3 linked regions of the Rhinolophus ferrumequinum genome follow. The protein of the gene in region 3 purifies or fractionates together with the protein of the main gene of each other region. This does not show direct contact. Links are inferred from orthologs where the notes say so. Each region holds a gene or a part of one and is shown on either strand. Other genes may lie near its edges. The genes, in order: CAMKV, AMPD2 and SDC2.

Region 1 (7,209 bases), on a different chromosome or scaffold from region 3:
GGGCTCCAGAGCTTGCAGCAAATCTGGGGAGGCCAGGAGGGGCCCAGGAGGCCTCCAGCTGCCTCCCAACAACTGTCGGCAACACCTCCCGATTTAGTGGCAGCTGTGAACACCAGCCTGCGGGCACCCCCCCCCCCATTCCCTGCTTTCCTTTCTCAGGGACTGGGGCTGGGTTTGCAGTGGACACGCTTAGGCCCAAGCCCTGCCGGCCCACTGCTGAAGCCTCACCCGCAGGACCAGGGGAAATAGAGACCTCACTCTCGTGGTCTGGTGTCAGGAGGCAGAGCCGAGCTTCTGGCCTACCCTCCAGCTGCTTCAGAAAACTGGGCAGGGGGCTGCCTTGGCTGGGCCTCATGCTCTAGCTAAACCATGGTCCATAGTTCCTGCTGCTGACCCTTTGCCATCTAATGAGGGAGTGTGTGTGTGTGTGTGTGTGTGTGTGTGTGTGTGTGTGGCGGGGGTGGGGGTGGGGGGCGGGCTCCAGTCTCAGGGGTGGGTATACCGTCCAGTGCTGCCATCAGAAAGTTCAACCCTCATATGCAGGCAGAGTCAAGAGCCAGCTGACCCCTCCTGGGCACCTTTGAATCCCTAAAGGAAAACTCCCTGGGGTCCCTGCTTCCCTGTGGGTGGAGGAGGGGAAATGCAGGGGAAGGCTCTAGAGCAAAGGGTTACAATGGTGATGGAAGTTTTAAAACAAGAGGAGGGGGAGGGAGAAGTGTTGGCCAAACCCCTTCTCGAAGAATTCCCTGAGGCTTTGACCTGGTTCCTTCCCCATGGGTTCTGTGACCTTGGTCCCTATCAAGAAAGGGGAGGTGGAGGTACTGAGACACTTATAAAAAGAGAAAGAGAGACATGGCCACAGGGAGACAAAGGCACAACCTGTGATGGAAGGGAAGCAAACAGGCGACAGAGTAAAAAGGATGCAGCCACAAGGGTGGGGGGGGGGGGAAGGTGGGCATCGGGTTCTGAAGGCGCCTGTGGGTGCCCAACAGAGCCCTAGGGCCTCCACGGCCATGTGCTCTGAACACCTGGGCCAGGAGCTGCTGCCTGGTACCTGGACTTTGAGACTGAACCCTCCTATACGCCCTAGACATGCAGGGAACCTGGTGTGGGAAGCACCCTTAGCTCGAAGGAAGAGGCCAGCTACTGCAGTCGCCTAAGTCAGAGCAGCTCCTCAGCCCCTCTCCCTGTCATCACAGCAGCTTAGGTAAGGCAGGTCCCACGTGGGGAAGGCACCAGCGTGGGGGATGGAAATGAAGCTCGGAGACCTGGCTGCTTCCCTTCACAGCCCTCCTCTCAGCTGGCCCAGCTACACCTGGACTCCCCAGCCACACCCCCAGCCCCCTTCTGCTATCCTCTCTAGGCCTTAGGTCCCCAGGGCCCCTCTTGCAGCTCAGCCTAATTCTCTGCCACTGCTGTCCCCCTCCCAACAGTGGATCCTGTTAGGAGAGCCAGAAACAGCACCCTAAGCAACCTAGAAACAGGAAAACAACTGCACAGCCCCACCTCCCCTTGCCTTAGTTTCCCTGGATGGAGATCACGGACTCAGTGGCCTTCTCCCAGGGCAAGGATTGATTGATTGCCTGCTAGTGAGTGGTGGCCAGGATATGGGCTGGATAGGAGGGCCAGAGGTGGATATGGGAAAGGTAGCCTATGGCACCTGGGGGTCCACACCCAATGCCGTGAAAGGAGAGGGACCTCTGCCTGACACTGAGGGAAGTGGAGACACCATTATCCCAGATGAGGAAACTGAGGCCCAACAGCCGGCTAAAGCTGACAGGAATCAAATGAGAGGGGAGGGCACCAGGTCTCTGCAGGTGGTCCTTGGGGGGTTCAAAGGCTGGGCCTTGGAGGAGGGTGGCAGGACAGGAGCTGGACTGCTGTAGACTGAGCTTTTGGTGAGGGACAGAGGGCCCTGCTCCCCAGAAGAGAACCCGGTGGAGCAGGCTTTCCTAAGGGGTGCAGACAAAAGCAGTTTGGCAGAGCTATGGGGGGCTGGGAGAGCCTAGGGTCTCTGCCAGACATTACAGGTTGGGGAAGGCAGAAACTCCCTGGTTTATTGTCCACCTCCCCCAGCCACAGCCCTGCTTCCCACCGCGGTGCCACCCTGACCCCCTTCCCAGTGCTGCTGACTCGCCCCCGCTGGCACAGCAACACACATGCGGGAGGCACACGTGTGAGCACCAAGCCCCGCACCACCCAGCAGAGACATATGTGTCCCCCACCCCCACCATCCAGCGCTAGGTCGGTGTCCTGGACCCCGGCTGGGCCCCAAGTTAAGGCTTGAAAACTGGATCTTGCCTCGGGCGCTGCTGGTCCCCAGGGGCTTGAAGCCCCCTCCCCCACTCCGGCAGCCCCGCCCAGCCCCCTCCAGGTTGTCGCCCATAAAGAACTCTCCGTTGTCATGGAAATTAGTGACTGCTTTGAGAAAGGGAGGGGGGCGGGAGCAGTTGGGAGGGGCTGGAGGCGGCTCTGGGAGTCAGGAGGGACCACTCAGCCCTCGGCCCCTACCCCCCTCCGCCCCCCGCCATGGGGCACCACGAATGTCCGAGGGTTAATGTTTTCACAATTAGTAGCCCAGCGAGACGGGGGCGGGGTGGACAAGGTGCGGGCGGGGGGAGCAAGGAAGAGGAGATTCGCCTGGACTTGAGTCTCAGAGGCTTCCCCTGGGACCCCCGAGCTGTCAGAGGTGACAGGCAACTTTAGCCCAACCCCGCACGCGGACCCCCAAATCTGCACAGCCTGTGTGCTCTGCCCCCGCAGGGGCCCCAAGCCTTCGCGGGGCCCCTGTACATTAAGCGACCAGAGACCTAATCCCCCAAGACCTCACAACGTGCGTCCCAGGGACGCTCCCCCGCCCGGCCCGCCCTCACCTGCAGCGCCGGTTGATCACAGGAAGAAGCGATCGCGGGCTCAGTGGGGGCTCCGAGGGCTCCGGGGTCAGCGGGCAGAATCAGCTCCGGGCACGCGGGCCAGACGCGGCGCCAGCTGCAGCCGCTTGGGCTCGCGAACCTCCAGCATCTCCCGCCGCTCGCCCGCACCGGATTTGCACCCCGGGCCGGGGGCGGGCTGGGGGCGGGGCCTCCCTCAGCCGGCTCCGCCCCGACCCTGGCCGAGCTTAAGGCCCGAATCCCACTCGAATGCAGGCGGACCAGGGGTGGCAGCGGAGTCGGTGAGCATTGGGCTGCCCGGCCCGGGCCAGGCTCTCAAAGGGCTCCCTTAGGCCCTGGGACTGACTGCGCCACAGGGCTTAATGGAGGGGCCTTCTTCCTATGCCCATTGTAGGGGCTGGGGAGTGGGAAGTGTGGGGAAAGCCTGAGTCCTAAAGCTGCACAGGAAATCTCTTGGCAGGTAGTGTCCCGGGGGACCGGCGCACTGCCCAGCTCCCAAAACCTGACCCTAAGGGTGGAACCCGCTTAGAAGAACCAAGTGGACAGTCGCTAGCGCAAGCTGCGCTATAGAGTAGCAACCCGTAACTAGGAGTGGGTTGTGCCCAGACCATGGTGGCAGTCTCCTTTCCACCCCAACCTCCATTCCCGCAAGGCCAAAATCTTTCCCATTACCAAGTCCCAGCCAGGGTGGCTGGCCCAGTCTGTCCCTTCTATGTAGCACTGAATTTCTCAAGCTATAAAAGTCACCTATGGCATGGTGTGGAATCTGCTTTCTTCCCAGTTATATCACCCTCAAACACTTCATGAGCAGAATCACCATCAACGGCCTGGGCTGGGATGTGGGGATACAGGAGACCTGGCCCCTGACCATACCCGGCCACTGACTGGAGGAGGCTGAGAACTACCAGGCAGAAGCTTTAAAGGAAGTCCTTGGCCATTTCTCTGTGGACCCAGTGCTTGCCCTGCTCCCCTCACAAGGTCTGAGGCCATTATCTGAAGGCCAGACTTAGGCTTCTCGGTGCCTGGAGTTGGGGGATCCACCCAACCCAACCTTTCCAGTGAGCCTTCTGACCCCATCCTGGGTGCAGCCATCTCCAAACCCTGTACCATACTGAGTCCGGCTCCCCTGCGTGGCTCCCCGTGCTGCTGACAGAGTGACTGCCCGTGTGAGGAAGCTGGGGCTGGGGCTGAAGGACTAGCCTGGCAAATGACTATTCAAACAAGGCCCCTCTATATCTTCCTACAGAGGGATTGTTGAGGAGCCCTTCATTTCCTTCCCTGGCTTTGGGTCACCTGTCCCAGGCCAGGCTGGTGCCACCTCTGAGTGGTCTCAGTCATGGCACCAATCCCACTACTGGGTGGGAATCTCCTGGCAGGCTGGGCACCTGCAGCGCAGAGACTGTGTCTCATCTCAGTATGCTCAGTCCCTGTCTGTAGAATGAAGGGACAGCCTAGCATGCAGTCCTGCCTCCTGTCTGCCCGCTGTCCTTGAAACAATGGCTCTCTGAGTTGGATGGTGCAGCCGAGCCATGGTTTGCCAACCCCACACATGTCACACGTGTTTTCTGTCTTTCCATGACCTTGAGGTCATGGATATCCAGGCATGGAGAAGCTGAACTGAGGAGAGGCTGGAACAGGGCACTCAGAGGCAGGGGAAAAGGTGGCTGCGGGAGCCCTGCCTCCTGCTGGCAGTGCTCCACCTCTTCTTGGTCCTGTGCACACTCCATGTGTCTGTGGGTGAGAGCACGTGGCAGGGTATATGTGCACACGTGTAAGTGTGTCTGTGTGTTTGCGCTCTTATGCTGAAGGAGAAGGCATTAGCACAGTGTGTGCAGTGGGGCCCAGGGGCACGTGTGTCTGCATTCTGTGTGCACCCAGGCATGCTTGCTCTCACGTGCTCACGGACGCTGTAGCTAGTCTCTGGAGCCACTGGTCCCTGGAGACACTGGTCCCCTTCCTGCCTAACACAGGCCTTGGGATTGTGGAGATTGAATCAGGGTTGTGAGGACAGGACATGGGAAGAGGCTGGACTATGCCCAGGGGCGGGCAGGGGCTGTGATGACCCTATGTCATCGGTTGTTTCTAGTCATCCCCCTAGGGTAGCCCCTCACTCTCAGGTGGGGGGCAGTGGGGTGGGAGGGCAGGGAGGTGTAGCCAGGTCTTTGCCCTCTGTGGAGAGGGTAACCTAAAGACAAGAACCCAGGGTTGAGACTGAGCCATGGCTTGTCCCTCAGTCTCCAACCAGAGAAGCACAGGCAAGGCAGGGCTTCATTGTTTTGGCTTCAATCTCCAACTGCCCTCTCTGGGCAGGAAGTAGCAACACCAGCTGAGTGCTCTTCCAGACTATGGACTGGGCCGACAGAGCTTCATTCCTACCTCCCCTTTCAGAGCCAGACAAGGTCAGGGGCCGTGGCTTCTAGCCACCCCCCCGCCAGAGGAATAGCGGGAGGCCCTAACACGGGGCAGTTTGGGGTAAGAGCAAGAGCAGTTGGCTTTGGCATTGCCCGGTATCCTTTATGAGGATCTCCTGAGGAGGCCTGTACCCTGGCCACACTATGGGCAGGGGCTGCCTGGGTTGGAAGGCTGAAGAGGAGGAGAGCCCAAAGTTGACTATTCTGGCTCCCACCAGAGCTAGATAGTCAGAGAAGCAGGATAAGGCGCGAGCTGCTGTATCCATAGAGCACACAAAGCAGGCCAGAGCCTCAGCCCCCAGCTCAGGTCGTACCCCATCCCCAGGGGCCAGGACTTATCTGCCCCCTACCCCAACTTCCTGCTCCAGGGCACCAAAGCCAGCACTCCTATATCCTCGTATTCTGACTGGTGGACAGAAGCCCCTGCCAACCTAGTGTAGAGCTCCAGCCAAGGTTCAGACTTTAGGAGGTACCTGCATTACCAGGCCAGCTACCCCAAGAAGCCAAGACTCTGACAGGGACTGTCCCTCGGGTACACAAAATGCTCCAGGCCCCCAGCCATCTTTGGAACTTTGGGGCTGTCGTCTATGTTGCTGGTCTCAGCCCCCCTGTAGAGGGCCCAAGATGGGGGAGGGCAAGTAGTCTTTTCCTCTGGTGCTAGGGGAGGGGGCTGCCCCCCCATGACTCACTCCAGGCTGTGTGGGTTATTACATTATGTTTGAAATTGCCATGGCAACCAGCTGGCAATCAAGGGTAATTGCGCTTGTCACCAGGGCAACGGGGCAAAACCCACAGCAGCCATTCTCTGTGTTTGCCCTTGGGGTTCAGTAAAGGTCAGGCGAGACCTGTCAGGCGAGACCAAAGCCAATGCCAAGGGGCTCTGGGGCTCTCTAGAGAAGGCTGCCAGGACCCATGGAGTTCCAGTGTGCAGAGGCAGGGTGTGCCTTAGGAGTGCCAAGGCCGCCATCCCTGACCCTGGGCCAGGACTCCTGCCCCTTCCATACCACCTTGGGCCTAAAACATGCCACAGTGCTCAAAATAAGCAGAACCAGAACTTTTATGTGCTCACAGATGGTACTTGTAGATGGCCCATGGGCCCTCCTCCTCATACTCACGGCGGCTGAGCCACAGGCTCTGGAAGGAGTCCTGGGACGCCATGATGGAGCCTCCAATCCAAGCGGCAGCAACACGGTGGGGCAAGTCCAGCACAGTGGCACGGGGGCCCAGCTCCTGTCTCAGGCGCTCAGGAAAGCCTCTTACCAGGGTGCTGCCACCGTCTAGTACCACATTGGCCAGCAGCTGCTCCTGCTGCTTGGCCTCCAGCTGGCTGATGCTTAGGAGGGCTAGTTGTGCGAGGCCTGGCCGGTTGAGGCCTAGCAGATTGGGCTGGAAGAGGGCCTCAGGGCAGCAGAAACACTCGGAGCCCAGCGTGATGACCTGCTTGTCTGGAAGCACGAAGTCCACCCCGGCCTGACCCTGGGTGCGGGCCATCTCAGCTGTCACATCCATGGCCACGTAGCAGCAGGCCTCTTTAATCTGGTTGACCAGCCCTGCATTGGGCAGTGAGTGCCCACCTGCCAGCAGTAGCTGAGCCAGGTATTCAGTGAGGTCAGCACCAGCCACATCCAGCCGGTAGATGTCACGTGGGGCCAGATCCCCACTGAGGATGGGTGCCACATAGGAGGTGCCATAGCCACTGCCCAGCACCAGCCCAGTGGTTCGCCCATAAGCATAGAGCGCCAGCAGGGCCTGGTGCACTGTCTGCATGGCTGGCACATGGAAACGCTCAAAGAGTATTTCGGCCACCTTTTCTCGGTTGGTGCTCGGGGAGACGGGTGAGTCGGCCACAAGTACTGCCAGCTGTTCAGGCTGCATGCCTAGCCTGCAGTAGAACAGGTGCTGCCACA
Region 2 (7,323 bases), on a different chromosome or scaffold from region 3:
CCCGCCTGTTTGCTGAGTGGCCGGCAGCCCTGTGCCCCTTGCCTGCCTGTTTGCTGAGTGGAGCTGCAACCAGTCCCCCAGGACAGCTCAGGGGCCGGCACGGGCTGTACCAAGTGCAGCTGCATACAGGGGAGACCCTGGGATGACGGCAAGTAGGGGGCTGGGGGAGCTCAGGAAAGCCCAGAAATCAAGGGAAGGAGCATCAAAGTACGGAGATATGAGGAACCCCAGAAATGAACAGGGCCTTAACCTCTACAGTGCCAGGGCCCAGCCCAAAGTGGGGCTCCCAAGGGGCTGGAACAGGGTAGGCTGATATGGGCAGGTCACCCTAAGCTGGCAGGGAGGGGCCAAGGCTCCTTAAAATGTACTGCCCCAGTGTATAGTGAGTAGGTAGAATCTGGCTGGCCAAAGGATGGGGGAAGAGGAGTACAAAGAAAGAGGGCAAGCAGCCCCTGTCTCTATACCCAGCAGCCCCAGGCCATCCTCCTCTGCCCAGTGGCCTTGTTTTGCCTGTCCTCTGGGGCCCTGCCTATGGGGTCCCTCGGGAGACACAGGGCCTCTGCCTGGGAGAGGAGCTGGCTGGCAGCCCTGGAAGTGGCTCAGTCCAGGCAGGGACCATGACGCCCCGCGACTGGTTCATGGTCCCCTAGACCTCCAACCCCCGTTTCAGTTGTGATGGACACATTGCCCAGGAAGAGAGGGACAATTGGGAGAAGAGGGACTAAAATTTGGAGGACTTGAATCTGACTTTGTTCCCATTTATTAGCAAGTCTCTACCTCCTGGATGACTCGAGTCCTGTCTATAAGCGGGTGATAAGTGGGTCCTGTCCTGTCTAGCCACAGCTGCCGCAAGGCTTACACAGATCTGGCTCCGAGTATCCAGTCAAACACGATAATCTGTGATTATGAACTCCTGGGACCCTCCCAACACATCCCACCCACCGGGGAGGGTGGGAGGTTCTTGGGCCCAGGGCAGGCCAAGGCAACCAAGCAGAGAACGGCAGCAAAGAGAACAGAACCTGGCAGGGGTGGAGATGGGGGTGGTGATACTATCTCTTACTTGTAAGAGGGCAGCGAAGGAAGAGGAAGGAAAGATGAGCACCTGCTCCACCCCTTAGGATGTAAGACACAGCCTGAGGTCCTTGCTTGCCCAAGAACTCTGATTCTACACAACTCTTCCCCACTCCAAAACCCCTCTACGGGCCGCTGACCACAGACCTCCAGGGGTGGTCTGGAAGGGCTCAGCAGGAGCTGAGACAAAGGCCCTCATCTCAACCCCCTCTCCTATCAGGATGGCCCAGGGCTTCCATAGAAACGCTGGAGTGACCAGGACAGGTTCCAGCAGCCAGAGCCATCCCCCCAGCCTGCCAGGCCACTGCACGGGGCTGCCGGGGTTCACTGGAGGTGACAGACAGGCAGTAACCCCCACACTCCCTGCAGCCGGGCCTAGAAAACCCAGCTGCTGTCTGCTGGTCCCTTCTCCCAGAGTCTGTGTCACAGCAACACACACACACATACACACACACACACACACACACACACACACAAAATCACACGGGGGGAAGGGGAGGGAGGGTATAGTTGACCAAAAGCCAACCACTCCCACCAACTCCAAGATTCTTGCCATCCCATCTACTCTCTTAACCAGGACTCACTGCCAGGACTGCCTCAGTAGGCAGCGAGGTGCCCAAGGCTTTGACCCACAAGTATGATGCTCCCACCATGTGACCACCCAAAGGTACAGATCTGGCCCTGGCGGACACACCCTCTGGATGGCACAGACCTGGGCACAGAAAACACAGACCCTCAGGACAGCACGGATCAGGCCAGCATCTTCAATGGCATAAGAAAACATAGGAGGTGGGTGGTCAGGCTAGGTACAGACAGCTGCTGAGGGGGAGACTGGCTTGAGCTAGTCACCAAGGTGGGGGTGGTGTTTCTTCAGCCACAAGACCTGGGGACAGCAGATGGCAGGGAGATATCCCTTAGAAAGCAGACCCAGGCAGCCGAGCCCTTAGGGAACTGGGCACAACCGTACCAGGCTGCCTGCTCCAAATGGTGCAGAGATGCCTACCAGAGTGGGAGCCGGAACCAAAGGGTACTGGAGCACTTGCGGGTGGGCAGCAGGCCCAGCCTGAGCCCTGCATGGTCCGGCCCAAGGACACCAATACTCTTGGGGACGCTCACGAGACAGACCAGGAATGAGCACACAGCAAACGATCACAGTTGCGCCCCCGGCCTTGGGATCCCAGTGTCAATGAGTGTGCCCTAACATCAGAGCCCCGATGAGGGGTCAGAGATCTGGGGTCCTAAAAAGAGGAACTAGCCATACGAAGACAGCCTGAGCCTGCCTGGCAAAGGCACAGCTGCTAGCACTGTGGCCACTCTGCAAACCAGTCAGTCCCACTCAGCCCCCACTCCATTCATACACTCTCCATGCAAACAGCCTTAGCACATCCACACGCTGACACGTGTGCAAACACACCTCTTGCTGCACCCACACCCATGCCCACTCCGTTACAAGGATAGCATCCCTGACATGGAAACGTCCACCCCACCTCTCTCCCCCCACCACCTCCCAAGCCAGCTGTCCCTGGGACCGAGGACGAGGCACACCACAGCAGAGAGGGTGCAGAACCACCCCCCCACACCCCCCCACCCTCTGAGGGGACCAGTGGCCTGGGCCAGAAGTGGTGGAGCAGAGCCAGTGCCTGGGTCAGGATGCACACACTCACCTGGTGCTGCAGAGGAGGGCTGCTGGCTGGCACGCTTCTTAAAGGGATATTTGGCCTTGGGTTTGCCCGGGCCGGATGGATAGGATGCCATGGCTCTGGTCGTGGAGATGGCGGGGGAGTCTGAGCCGCACCAGCTGGGCCTGGCTCTGCCACATCCAACCCCTTCCTCCGCCCCGCCCCCAGCGGGAGTGAGTGATGCAGGAAGCAGAGGCCCCGCCAGCGGAAGAGGCCCTGGCCACGATTTCTGTTGTCTAGGCAACCTCCAGGAGGGGCCTCCATCCCCGCCCCTTAATCCTCCCTTCCCCTCCCTCATCCCAGGAGTGACGTGGGCCTGGGGAGGGATGGAGGTGCGAACAAGATCGTAGAGAGCCAGCACCCAGCACGCCACTAACCCTCTCTCTGGAGCCCTGGAACCCGCCTCCCTTGCCATGACTCTGGGGCGAGGGCTCAAAGTCCAGGCTAGCTGGACTAGCTAGCGTGAGAGAAAAATATAATAATAAACAAGGATCCGGCGTGAGCTCCCCCAGACTCAGAATACGTTCGGCCCAGGGCAGGCGCAGTCCGTGAACACCCAGTCCCTCTAGGGCAGAATCCCCTTTTTCCTTCTCTATCTGAACCCCGGCCCCAGAGTAGCGCAGCTCTGGGAGGATGGAGTAGAACGGAGAATCCCAGCCCGGTAGGGAGTAGCCTGTCTTGGGAAAATTCCACTGTCCAGCAGAAGCTACCTTCTCGGAAGGCAGAGAGGCCAGGAGGCAGGGGCTTCTCTGAGGGTCTGGGAAAGAGACCCGGCGTCTCCCGCCTCCTCTCTGTTTTTCCACACTCAGGCTCTGCTCTCCCAGGCCCTGCTCAGGAGGAGCTGGCCGCCTTCGCTACGTCTGCGGGCTATGCTCAGTCCGCTACCCTCGTCAGCCAGGACACTGCACGTCTCTATCCCAGAGACCCTTCCCCCAACACAGGCACACACACTCACCTGAGGCCATGCTGCCCGAGCCCTTAAAGGGAGCGGGGAGGCTGCCCGCCAGGGTCTGCACAGCCGGGAAGCCCGGGTCTCGAGGAAGGGGATGAGGGCTGGGGCCCAGACCCGCACCAAGTCGCTCTAAGAGCCCCTGCCCCGGCACGGAGCGGCGGGAAGTAAGGCAGTCTTTCAAAATTGCCGGATGTCAGGAGGCGGGCCCCCGCCGACCTTGGCCGCAGCACTGGCCTGGAAGACCCCTCAGCTCCCGCACTCCAGAGGCGAGCAGGCCACGTGCTCCCGGGACAGCGGGACCCGGAACTCGCCTGGGCTTCTCTCCACACTCTCTGGATATTCGGGGTCGGCCTCCTGGAGCTGGACTGTGGGGTAGTCACGCAACAGGTGCGACCCCACCGAAATCTGACCAGTGCCGCCGCGCGTCTTCGCGGGCCCAGGCCCCGCCCCGCCCGGGCCGCCAGGCCCCGCCCCCGCCATTTTTTCCTCATCCCGGCGCCACGTGGTCTGCAGCCACTACGCAGTCGTCACCGTCGGATCGGTGCAAGTTCTGTGCGTCAGCTCGTCAGTAAATGGGATGGGGTAATCGCACTACCTCACTCAAAGGAGTTATTGTGAGGATAAATGTTCACCACCTTTGCGCGGTGCCTGGCACAAAATAAGTGCCCAATGAAAGGTAGCTATTATCATTGCCCCAAGATTCACTTTTCGCAGAAGTCCTACACCAGCATTCTCACTGTGGGTGTCTGTTTCCTCCTGGCAGGCATAGATAGGCAGGGTGTGCCTTGCATTCTGGCTCCCCTTCCCACATTTATTTCTATATTTGTTGATTAAGAGCTTAGGCTCTGTAGCCAGAATGCCTGGGTTCAATTCCAGACTCCTCCACCTACTTCCTGACTGACTTTGGGAAAGTTATTTCTTAGCTGAATTTCTATTTCATCTATAAAATGAGTGTAAGAAACCCTGCTTTGTGGTGGTTTTTTCGATAAATGAGCTAATATAACTGCTCACAACAGTGCCTGACCTTTTACTATCCAATTAATATTTGTGTATTATTGCTTTGGCCTTGGCTTTAACATTCCCAGAGGTTTATTCACCTTATAGCCTATAAAGAAGTGGAGTTGGTCTGTTGTGGGGACTGCAGATACACCGCCCAACCAGCATCTCCACTCTCAAGTGGCTGAAAATCATACCTAAAGGGAACTTACAAGGGAAAGTCCCGAAGACTTCACTGAACATAATTAAGTGTATTAGCAGCAATTAATCTTTTTCCTATTTCTCCATCTTGTGGGAGCCCTTTACCCCCCCACACTCAGTTGCACAAACGCTGCTTATCCAGCTCCTCCTAGTTCTCACCACCCCCATAGCCAAATTCCTTCCCAAACTTTGCCTCTCCCAACTCTCCCCAGGCTGGACCCTGAACCTTATTCTCACCTCCACTGATCCCTGCCTACTGCTCCTAATGCTGGGCAACTCAAAAAGCCATGGTCTTCATAAACACGGGGGAGGAAAAATTCACCTTACAAAGAATCAATAAAATTGAAAAGAGGACAAGGAAATGCCATGTTTACCCATCAAATTAGCAAAGATTAAGGGGGGGAAAAGTTCTGGGCAGCCCGGTGGCTGGGGTGTTTGGAGCACTGTGCTCCTAACGCCGAGGTAGCTGAGTGGATTCCCACCAGGGCCAGTGAGCTGCGCCCTCTACAGCTAAGATTGTGAACAACAGCTCTCCCTGGAGCTGGGCTGCCGGGAGCAGCTGGAGGTTGGCATAAGCCCGTGGGTTGCTGTGCGCTGCCATGGGCTACTGTTTGCCGCCATGAGCGGCCACGGCCAGCATGAGTGGCCAACAACCATCGTGAGCTGCCGTGGGCTGCTGTGTGCTGCCGTCAGCAGCTGGTAGCCATCGTGAGTGGCTGGCAGCCATCATGAGTGGCCGGCAACCAGCGAGAGCTGCCATGATGCTGTGAGCAACTGATTGACGACCAGCAACCGTCGACCAGCGACCAGCGGACTCAGCCGGGGGGAGCGCAAGGCTCAACACGAGCATGGGCCAGGGAGCTGTGTCCTACACAACTAGACTGAGAAACAACGGCTTGAACCTGAGTGGGGAGGGGAAGGTGGAAGAAAGGGGGGGGAAGTCCTAATGCAGATGAGGGTGTAGTTAGTGAGCTGGAACACACACATATACCACTGGGGCATAAACATTGGCACAATCTTTCTGAAAGCCATTTAGTAATATATGATCAAGAATCTTTTAAAATTTCATATTATTTGACCCAGTAATTCCACTTCCAGGAAATTATTCTTCTAAAAAGAGCTGCCAGAGAAACATGCCCAAAGTTTCACCACTACAATGTTTATCACACAGAAAGGTTGGCAACTTTAAAGGCCCAACAGGGAAACGTTTAAATTATGTTGTATACATACAGTGAAATACAGCTGTCCTTGGAGAATTTCTTACTGAGGAGGAAATGTTTACAATGTAACGCTAGGTGAAAAATAAATGGATGTAAAAATCTGTACATACAATATGGCCCTAATTATGTGACATATATGCATAGAAAATAAACACACCAAGAAGTTTACAAATGAATACCTGTGAGAGGCAGAATCGTGGGTTATTATTTATTTTCCTCTGTATACTTATTTGCATTTAAAAATTGTCTGCAATGAACATCCATTACTTTTATAATCAAGGGACTGGAAAACAACGAAAGTCTGTAAAAATCGGTAATAGCCTCCACCCCATCCCCAGTAGACCCTCCTGGGTCATAACCCCAGACTAAACTGATCTTGGGGCCCTGAGGAATGTTGAGGCTGTTGGGCTCCCAACAATGAGTAATAAAATAAATCTCAAAATTAAAAATCAAGCACCAGGTAACCAAGTAGAATGTCAACTATGTTCTAATAAAAATGCAAATTTTGACGGTTTTAAGCAGTGGTATCTTGCATCGCGCCAGGTTTCTTCAGGACTCCCCCTTAATCCAGACCTACCTATTTACCTACCTAACCAGCCCACAGATGGCAATCCCTGCCCTCCACCCTGCCCAGGCAAACCGGTTCATTCGTCCCTTCATGCTTCTCCCTAGTCCCACGTGCATCACACCCTTCACCGTGTAACTCGCCTACATTTCCAGGCCATTTGGTATACTGTCCCTGCTGGGAAATCTGCCCTGATTACACCCAGCAGCAATCTCCCCACCTACATAACACCAGCAACAGCTCAGTGGGGTTCCATTGTCTGTGTAGAAGAGAGTTTGGGAAATGAAGGAGTGAGTCATTCCCTACAACCTCACGTTGGGGCCTTAATGATGTCTTTGAGCCTCTGGGACCTAAACACAGCTTCTTCCCCTCCTAGTCTATTCATCAGATGGTTCCTTAAACGGCCCTCCCTGAATCGCAGGTCCCCACTGACGACAATGCACTCCTTACTTCTTGCAAGAACTGCTTCTCTTAGCCCTGGCCTGCAGCTCACTTACGATGTCAGCCTCCTACCTGCGCCAGACCACTCTCCGCAAATATTAGACTTGGGAGAAAACACCTGCAGTCTTAAAAAGATTCTTGGCCAGGAAAATTTCACAAACCATACCCTATGCCCAGATCCTTCCAGAACTAAGCTGT
Region 3 (6,952 bases):
GCACAACCAAGAACAATAAAGTGACATCTTTCTCCCTTTGCAGTTTCCTACTCTGACAGCTCACTTTGGGATACAGCACCTACCTGTCCACTGTTACAATGAGTTATTATTAAATACCATAATGACAGAGTCCAATGTGTCAGAGTCCAGCATGGTTAAAAAATATGTCCTTAGAAGCTTTCAGTCCTAATATTTCATTTTGTCTGGTTCCTTTTAATTCGTTGTTGTTGTTTTTTTGTTTTTACATTTTTGCATCTCAGTTTCTGTTTATTTGTTATATTTTCTTCTGAGATTCTTGAGGTAGGTGTTTATTCTTTCAGCAGCCAATGAAGCTATTTGGGGAGTGATTGGTTTTGATATTTTACTTACTGTGCCCCTCAAAGCACAGCCCTTAAACAGAAGACCTGAAAACACATATTTGTGAGGAACTTTTGGCTCTAGTCAAAAGCTACACTTAGTGTATTAGATATAATCCACAAAATTCTACTGAACTTTAGTCCTATCAGTTGAAAAAATGCAATTAGCAAAACACACAAACAGGCCACTATAGATGTTTGTGTCCCCCCCAAAATTCATATGCTGAAATCATAATCTCCAAAGTGATAGTATTTGGCAGTAGGGCCTTTGGGAAGAACTTAGGTCATGAGGGCTGTTAAAAAACAAAATTCAGGGTGAGCTCTGAACAATAGGGTTGCCGGTTTGATTCCCACATGGACCAGTGAGCTGCTCTCTCCACAACTAAATTGAAGACAATGAGCTGCTGCTGAGCTTGAGCTGTGGCTGAGCTCCGGGAGGGGTAGCCCGGAGGGGTGGCCAGATGGCTCAGTTGATTAGAGCACGAGCTCTCAACAACAAGGTTGCCGGTTCAGTTCCTACATGGGATGGTGGGCTGTGCCCTCCACAACTAGATTGAAGGTCAACAACTTGCAGCTGATGGGCCCTGGAGAAACACACTGTCCCCCAATATTCCCCAAGAACATTTGTTTTTTAAAAAAACACACAGAAAACAAAATTCAACTGAGTAAATTTAAAAGACCTTATTGGCTTTATTCAATGATTCATGAATTGGGTAGCATCCCATCTAGCAGCTAGAAAGGAGATCCCAGGCGCTGTATAAAGTGAAAGGCTTTTATAGGCAGAAGGCGGGAAGAGTGGATTGTTTCAGGCAAGGCCACCTTCCTTTAGGGGAAGAAAGGGGTCTGTCAGGTGGATGACCTCACTAATGCTGATCAGGAAATTCCAGACTGACTGGTTAAGACAGCATCCCTGGGAGCTCCTGAAACTGCAATTAGGTTAGGTATTAAGTCTTGGTTTGGTGACATGGGGCTTAGCACAAGTGACTCCATTTTGGGCCTGTTGTCTCTTTTTTACCAGGGCTTAATCTCATGAATGGGATGAGTGCCCTTATAAAAGAGGCCCCAGAGAGCTTCCTGCCCTCCTCTGCCATGTGAGAACACAGTGAGAAGAAAGCCATCTATGAACCAGGAAACTGGGTCTCACCAGACACTGAATCTGCTGTTGCCTTGATCTTGAAATTCCCAGATTTCAGAAATGTGAGGAAAAAAAATTCTTGTTTATAAGCCACACAGTCTATGATGTTTTTCTTATAGCAGCTCAAACATACTAAGACAAAGGCCTTTGTCATTTCCAACATTTAGACATATGCTTAACACCAGAAGATATCCCGTCCCCGCCCCCTACCCTACTTAGCATAAGCAACTTTTTTTGTATCCTGTTCCTGTGCAATTGCTTTCACTATTAGTGATTTTCATATGGTCAGATTATTCTTTTGGCCATAACTGTTAACACATTTGAACACAAGATCTTGAATATTTATTTGTTATCATACACCTCTTATGTGTAACTGTCAAAATTATACCATCCCCTTATTACATATACTCTTAATGCTGCATAATCATTTATAAAGAACAAGTCACTCAGAGTCTCATAAACACCAAGAGCCTTGGAATTTGTGCACAGATACATTCCTTCAACAGATACACCTGATTATTCAATTTTATCAATTTCTGCCCAAGCTGAATGTTAGGTGGTTGCCCCAATAAACAGAGATAACTATGAGAACCAGTGAATAAGTGCATTTTCCCCTTTTATTGGAACTCTAATTTATTTGATGTATTCTTAACTGTTGGAGAGAATAGGGGGTGTGGCCTTGCCTGAGGCTGGAGAACAGACTAACTCTCTTTAGGGGGGAGAAGTGACATTTTATGACTCTTTGCAGTTGTCTCATGTTGCTCATTTTTTTGGAACCTCCTTTCCGAAGTCTCTCCTAATGAAATTCTTCAACCCACAAAGAAAACCCACTTCTTAAAAGTATGGCCATGGTTCCTTCTTCCAAAAACCAAGCTGGGCCCACATTGACCCACAGGTGCCAGCTCAGTTTCTGTGGAATCAGAAGTATTTTGTGTTACAACTTACAACTTCCTGATCTGTTTCTTTTCCTCTTTCTCATTTGGTCACTCTTCTATTTCTCCATATTACCCTTTTGGCTGCCAATGCCTTAGATTTGCCCATGGAAGCTTGGTAGTTGGCACTCAAAAGCAAAGAGCTGGATCTCTCCAGCTTTGAGTTGTAACTCTATAGTTCTCTAAATTTCTTTGAGATTTATTACAGTGGAAGGCTTCTAAGACATTGCAATTCTCACTTAGAGTAGGACTATTTTTTTCTACTACATACTAAGTTCAAAAATTACCATGGCCTAATTTCTATATATCTATATCTATGTATCTTAAAGGCTCACAATTCTCATGCAGTATAGATTCAGTTTTAGATCAAATTTATTCAAGAAATATTTATTGTTTTATGTACCGGGAATGAGAAAACAGTGGAGGACAAGACAGAAAGGTCCCTGGTTTCCTGGAGGAGTCATTCTAGAAGCAGAATAGCTCCATAATTCATTGATTTCATAAGTCAGAGAGAAACATAGTATTAGAAACTGGAAGGAATTATGCATTTGCCATGCTCTGTAGTATACCATAGACAAAGAATTGAAAAAAAAATCATACCAAAATATTTCAGATCAATTACTTTCATTCAGGATATACATGCTCATTATTATCTTCAAACTAGAAATTACTTTATCCTCTTTTCTTTGACGTTCTCTTAAATCTGTTATTATTCAGGGTCTCCATCCAATTTCTCATCAAATTGCCCTATTTGTAGCTTCCAAACGTTAACACCTCTATGCTGAAATGAAGCCTATAAAATGCCTTAAGGGCTTAAACTGTGTGTGAGGCAGAAATGGTATTTAAGCCTTTAATTAAATTATGAGCTTTGAAAGTGCTGCATTTTGAGTTTATAGGGGTCTTCCTCCAAATCTTTCTCTCTCTCTCTTTCTCTCTCTATGGCCGGGTTAGGGAGGGTGGGAAATACTCTTAATACATGTGTTTTGCCTTTTTTGTCTCCTCTTTTAAAATACAGCTTTCATGAATTGGAGATTTGTGAACACTGCTTGAAGGCATCTGTAAACTTTGTGTTTTTCCAACTCTCAAAGCAGTTTCTTTCCAGCAGTCTAATTCTCACAGGCAGAAAAGCTAAATACGTCTCTCGTTGTTTCGCCGATCTTTCTCCGAAAAAAAAAAATTTTTGAAAAGAAAATAGAGAAGAAAAGAGCACGGAGGACGAGAGAGGAAAAGCGGGGAGAGAAGGGGGTAAAGGAGAGAGAAAAAGAAGGAGCACCAGACTACTGAATGCGGACGAGCAGACCCAGAGCAGCCGAGGCGCCGAGCCGCCGGCGCCCACTGGTCCCCGGAGCTGCCAATCGTGGTGTAATCCCGTAGGAATTTCTCCCGGGTTTAGCTGGGAGTCACCCTGCCGCCTCTTCCCCAGACGCCCGGAGGAGCCAGGAGAAGCCAGCTCCGGAGGGAGGGAGGGTGGCAAAGAGGGAGGGAACGCGAGGAGAGGAGGAGTGGAGGTAAGGAGGAGGACCAAGGGAGGGAGGCGGCGGCACGGAAGGAGGAGCGCAGAGGCTGAGCCACTAGCTGCACTCTGCCGCGCTTCTCTCCAGATAATCGGGGAGCTCCTGCCGCGCGCAGCGCGCCTCCACGCTCTGCCCCCAAACTTGAGTTGCAGCTACAGTCCAAGCCATTAAAAATATTCCTCAAAATCAGAAGCTGAACCGCGACACGGAGAAGGAGTCCGCGGAGGAGTAAAACAACAGCAGAGCAAGAAGAGATCCAGAGAGCAGCCTCCCCGGAGCAACAACTCGGCGTCAAGAGTGCAGAAACCAACAAGTGAGAAGGCGCTGCGTTCTCGGGGCGCAGCGGAGGACTCGGGAGCAATCACAGGAGGAGGCAGCGAGTGCCTCCGAGGCCGGAGCGGGAGCCCTCGAGCCCGAGCCGAGGTCGCCGCGGCTGCTCTGCTCCAAGTCTCTGCGCGGGCTGCGCCGGGTACTGGGCAAGAAGCTTCATTTCTTCAAGTGGCGGCTGGGAGCAGCCGGTCCTCGGAGGAATATGTGGCGCGCTTGGATCTTGCTTACCTTGGGCTTGGTGGCCTGTGTATCGGCGGAGTCGGTGAGTAGGCCAGGCGAGGGTCGCGCGCACCGTTTAGGGTGCTCGAGGCCGAGTGGAGTCCGCAGCGCCCGCGGGAATCGGGGAGCGCCACCTGGGGGTTCCCATCGCCCGAACACCCCCACACGCGGCGCTCGTCCCCCGGGGAGCTACTGGGACAAACGCGCTTGCTCCTCCATCCGTTTCCACTTTCCCTTCCCGCAGAAAAGCGCCGCTCGCTGGAGTTGCCCCGAGATCCCTGGGGATGAGGGCGCAAGAATCGCAGTTTTGTCAAACCGCAGAGGCCCCGAAGTCACTCCCAGCTTCTTCGCCTTGGGAGGGTCTTGCTGCCTTGCCCGGGAAGGTCTGAGAGGAAAGGGTGGCCGAGATGGGAGCCCGCATAGGGCTCGCGGGGCAAGAGGTCCTCTCCACGCACTCCCCGAGACCCAGGGTGACCTGTAAACTTTGAGGTCCCTTCCTCCTCACACCATGTCCCCACGACAGCTTTCCTACTCGATTGAATGTAAGTTCTGGGGAAGATGGGGCCCTGATTTAAGAAACCCGCGTGTGTCGGGAGAGGAAAGTTTGCAAAAGTTCTTTTGTTTGATGTTTCCTGTGGCTGGGGCGAGGGAGCAGACACTACGTGGAATCGTTGCCCGCGGAGGTGCAGTCCACGGTCCCGCGGGGGCGGAGCGGAATGGCCGGAAAATGCTGGGGTGCCGGCCGCTAGAATCCCGGTCTTGCGGCGATCCCCTGCTCCTTGAGGGGTGGAGAACGGCCGGCGCGGACTCTTAGGGGCAGGAGGACATTTTAATACGGATTACACTGGAGTGCAGCACACAGGGCGAGGCGGGGTGCGTGTGACACCGGGTCGCCTGGCAGCTCGGGGACCGAGGCTTCCAGTCCGCCATGCTCGCTGTCGCGGGCCCTGGCTGGGTGCACCCCAGGCTGAGAGGACTCTTTTCCCGCCGGGGCAGGCTGCGGGTACTTGGTTTCCAGCAGTGGGAATTTGGTTTCTCCTTCTTTGGGTGGGTTTCGGGGGCTGGAGCTTCTTTCCCTATGTCGCCCAAAGAGCGCCCTCTAATGGGAACTGCCTCCCGGACTTCCCCTGGTCTGTGAAGGCTCCTACTTGGGAGTCCAGAGCTTTGTCTAGCTAGGTGGAAGCCCGAGCACCCCCGATTCCGTCTGCAGCCTCAGTGCCGTCTGGCGCCTGGGTTAGGGAGTGCAGCTGTTTCTGTTCCTTGTAGTTACCCATATTTCTTCCCTTTGCCACCTAATACCTTATCCGTTTCTGATAAACTGAAATATTTCTTCGAAGAGAAATAATTTCATCTTTAGGGGTGGTTTTGTGAGTTTTCCCCCTTCCCTATGGAGTGTTACTTCCCCCTTCTCCCTTTTTTTGAGTTGAGGCAATTTAGCATTGGGCAACCTCTTTGGCACTGAGCAGCAGATGGACATTTTTCATCAGCGTGGGAGCCTCTGTGTGGGCTAGCAGGTCTCCAAACGTTACAGGAGATTGGAGAGCACGTAGATTTGCATGAGTGTTTGGGTGCTCTGGCAGTAAAACAGAACTCTGAGCCTTATCAGTATTATTTCTCTTTGGCAAATGATCTTTAATCCGTTGGGATAGGTAATCTCCCAGCCAGTTATGAACTTTGGCTTTTGTACACAAAAAGGGAGATATTCTGTTTATTTCAGAAAATCCTAAATGCTCATCATCTTGTTGCAAAACAGGGCAAAGGGAGAATTCCATCTAAAGGTTTTCAAGAGAAGCCTGCCTGAAAAGCTGTACAGAGTTAAGGAAGTCTTTTTTTGCTGAGACTTGTTCAGGATTTGCTGGGAAATGTTAGTCTTTGGGGAATCTAGAAAAAGACTGTATCTTCTGCTTCTCTGGATTGTTGCATAAATGGGACAGTAGTGCTCCTTAAGGAAGTTTTTTGGTTGAACTATATGTGTCCTCCCCAGTGGCAACTCTTTCTCCCAACTCTGTCTCCTTGGGGTTCTTATATTTCTCATTTCCAACCAGAATTGGATGCTTTCCAAGTGAGCAGCTTTGCTTAGTAGATACTGTTTGCAATAATTGGAATATCATCCAAAAGCGTGATTAGATATTTTTAAAATGTCAATTTAGAGACTCTAGCAGAGTCTTTGTTAGGCAATGAGTCAGTGGTTCTCAATACAAGCTGTTTTAAAGCCCAGGATGGCTAATAGTCCGTATAAATTACTTTTCAGTTTTTATGTTTCATGTGTAGCAGCATAAATGTATGCAAAGTTGAAAGACATAATTTTTAAACGTTAAGCCATTATAGCACATTATTTCCAGTACTTTGCATTTTAATTTGAAAACTGCTTACTGTTTCCTGGGAGTAAGAAGTAGTGATGGAATGAGCTTAAAGTCTCTCTTTAAAAGGAAGAAAGGAAAAACATTTGCAGTTAGTGAATTCTTT

What was found.
Region 1: the proteins of SDC2 (region 3) and CAMKV purify together in Homo sapiens (affinity purification with mass spectrometry; 3 studies listed by BioGRID and IntAct, counting the BioPlex papers as one, with this or other methods). This does not show direct contact. The link is inferred for Rhinolophus ferrumequinum from reciprocal best matches to the Homo sapiens genes SDC2 and CAMKV.
Region 2: the proteins of SDC2 (region 3) and AMPD2 purify together in Homo sapiens (co-immunoprecipitation; 3 studies listed by BioGRID and IntAct, counting the BioPlex papers as one, with this or other methods). This does not show direct contact. The link is inferred for Rhinolophus ferrumequinum from reciprocal best matches to the Homo sapiens genes SDC2 and AMPD2.

Annotation. Positions count from the first base shown.
Region 1 is NC_046300.1:6,610,593-6,617,801, reverse strand, and holds the start of CAMKV (caM kinase-like vesicle-associated protein), read right to left. Parts: upstream 3,067-7,209; 5' UTR 2,874-3,066; intron 1-2,873. Other genes in the region: uncharacterized protein LOC117037109, read right to left, coding at 6,368-7,209. UniProt on the Homo sapiens protein: Does not appear to have detectable kinase activity.
Region 2 is NC_046305.1:41,758,480-41,765,802, reverse strand, and holds the start of AMPD2 (AMP deaminase 2), read right to left. Parts: upstream 3,059-7,323; 5' UTR 3,049-3,058; coding exon 2,736-3,048; intron 70-2,735; exon of another isoform or gene 1-69. UniProt on the Homo sapiens protein: AMP deaminase plays a critical role in energy metabolism. Catalyzes the deamination of AMP to IMP and plays an important role in the purine nucleotide cycle.
Region 3 is NC_046297.1:38,339,300-38,346,251, forward strand, and holds the start of SDC2 (syndecan-2), read left to right. Parts: upstream 1-3,927; 5' UTR 3,928-4,469; coding exon 4,470-4,529; intron 4,530-6,952. UniProt on the Homo sapiens protein: Cell surface proteoglycan which regulates dendritic arbor morphogenesis.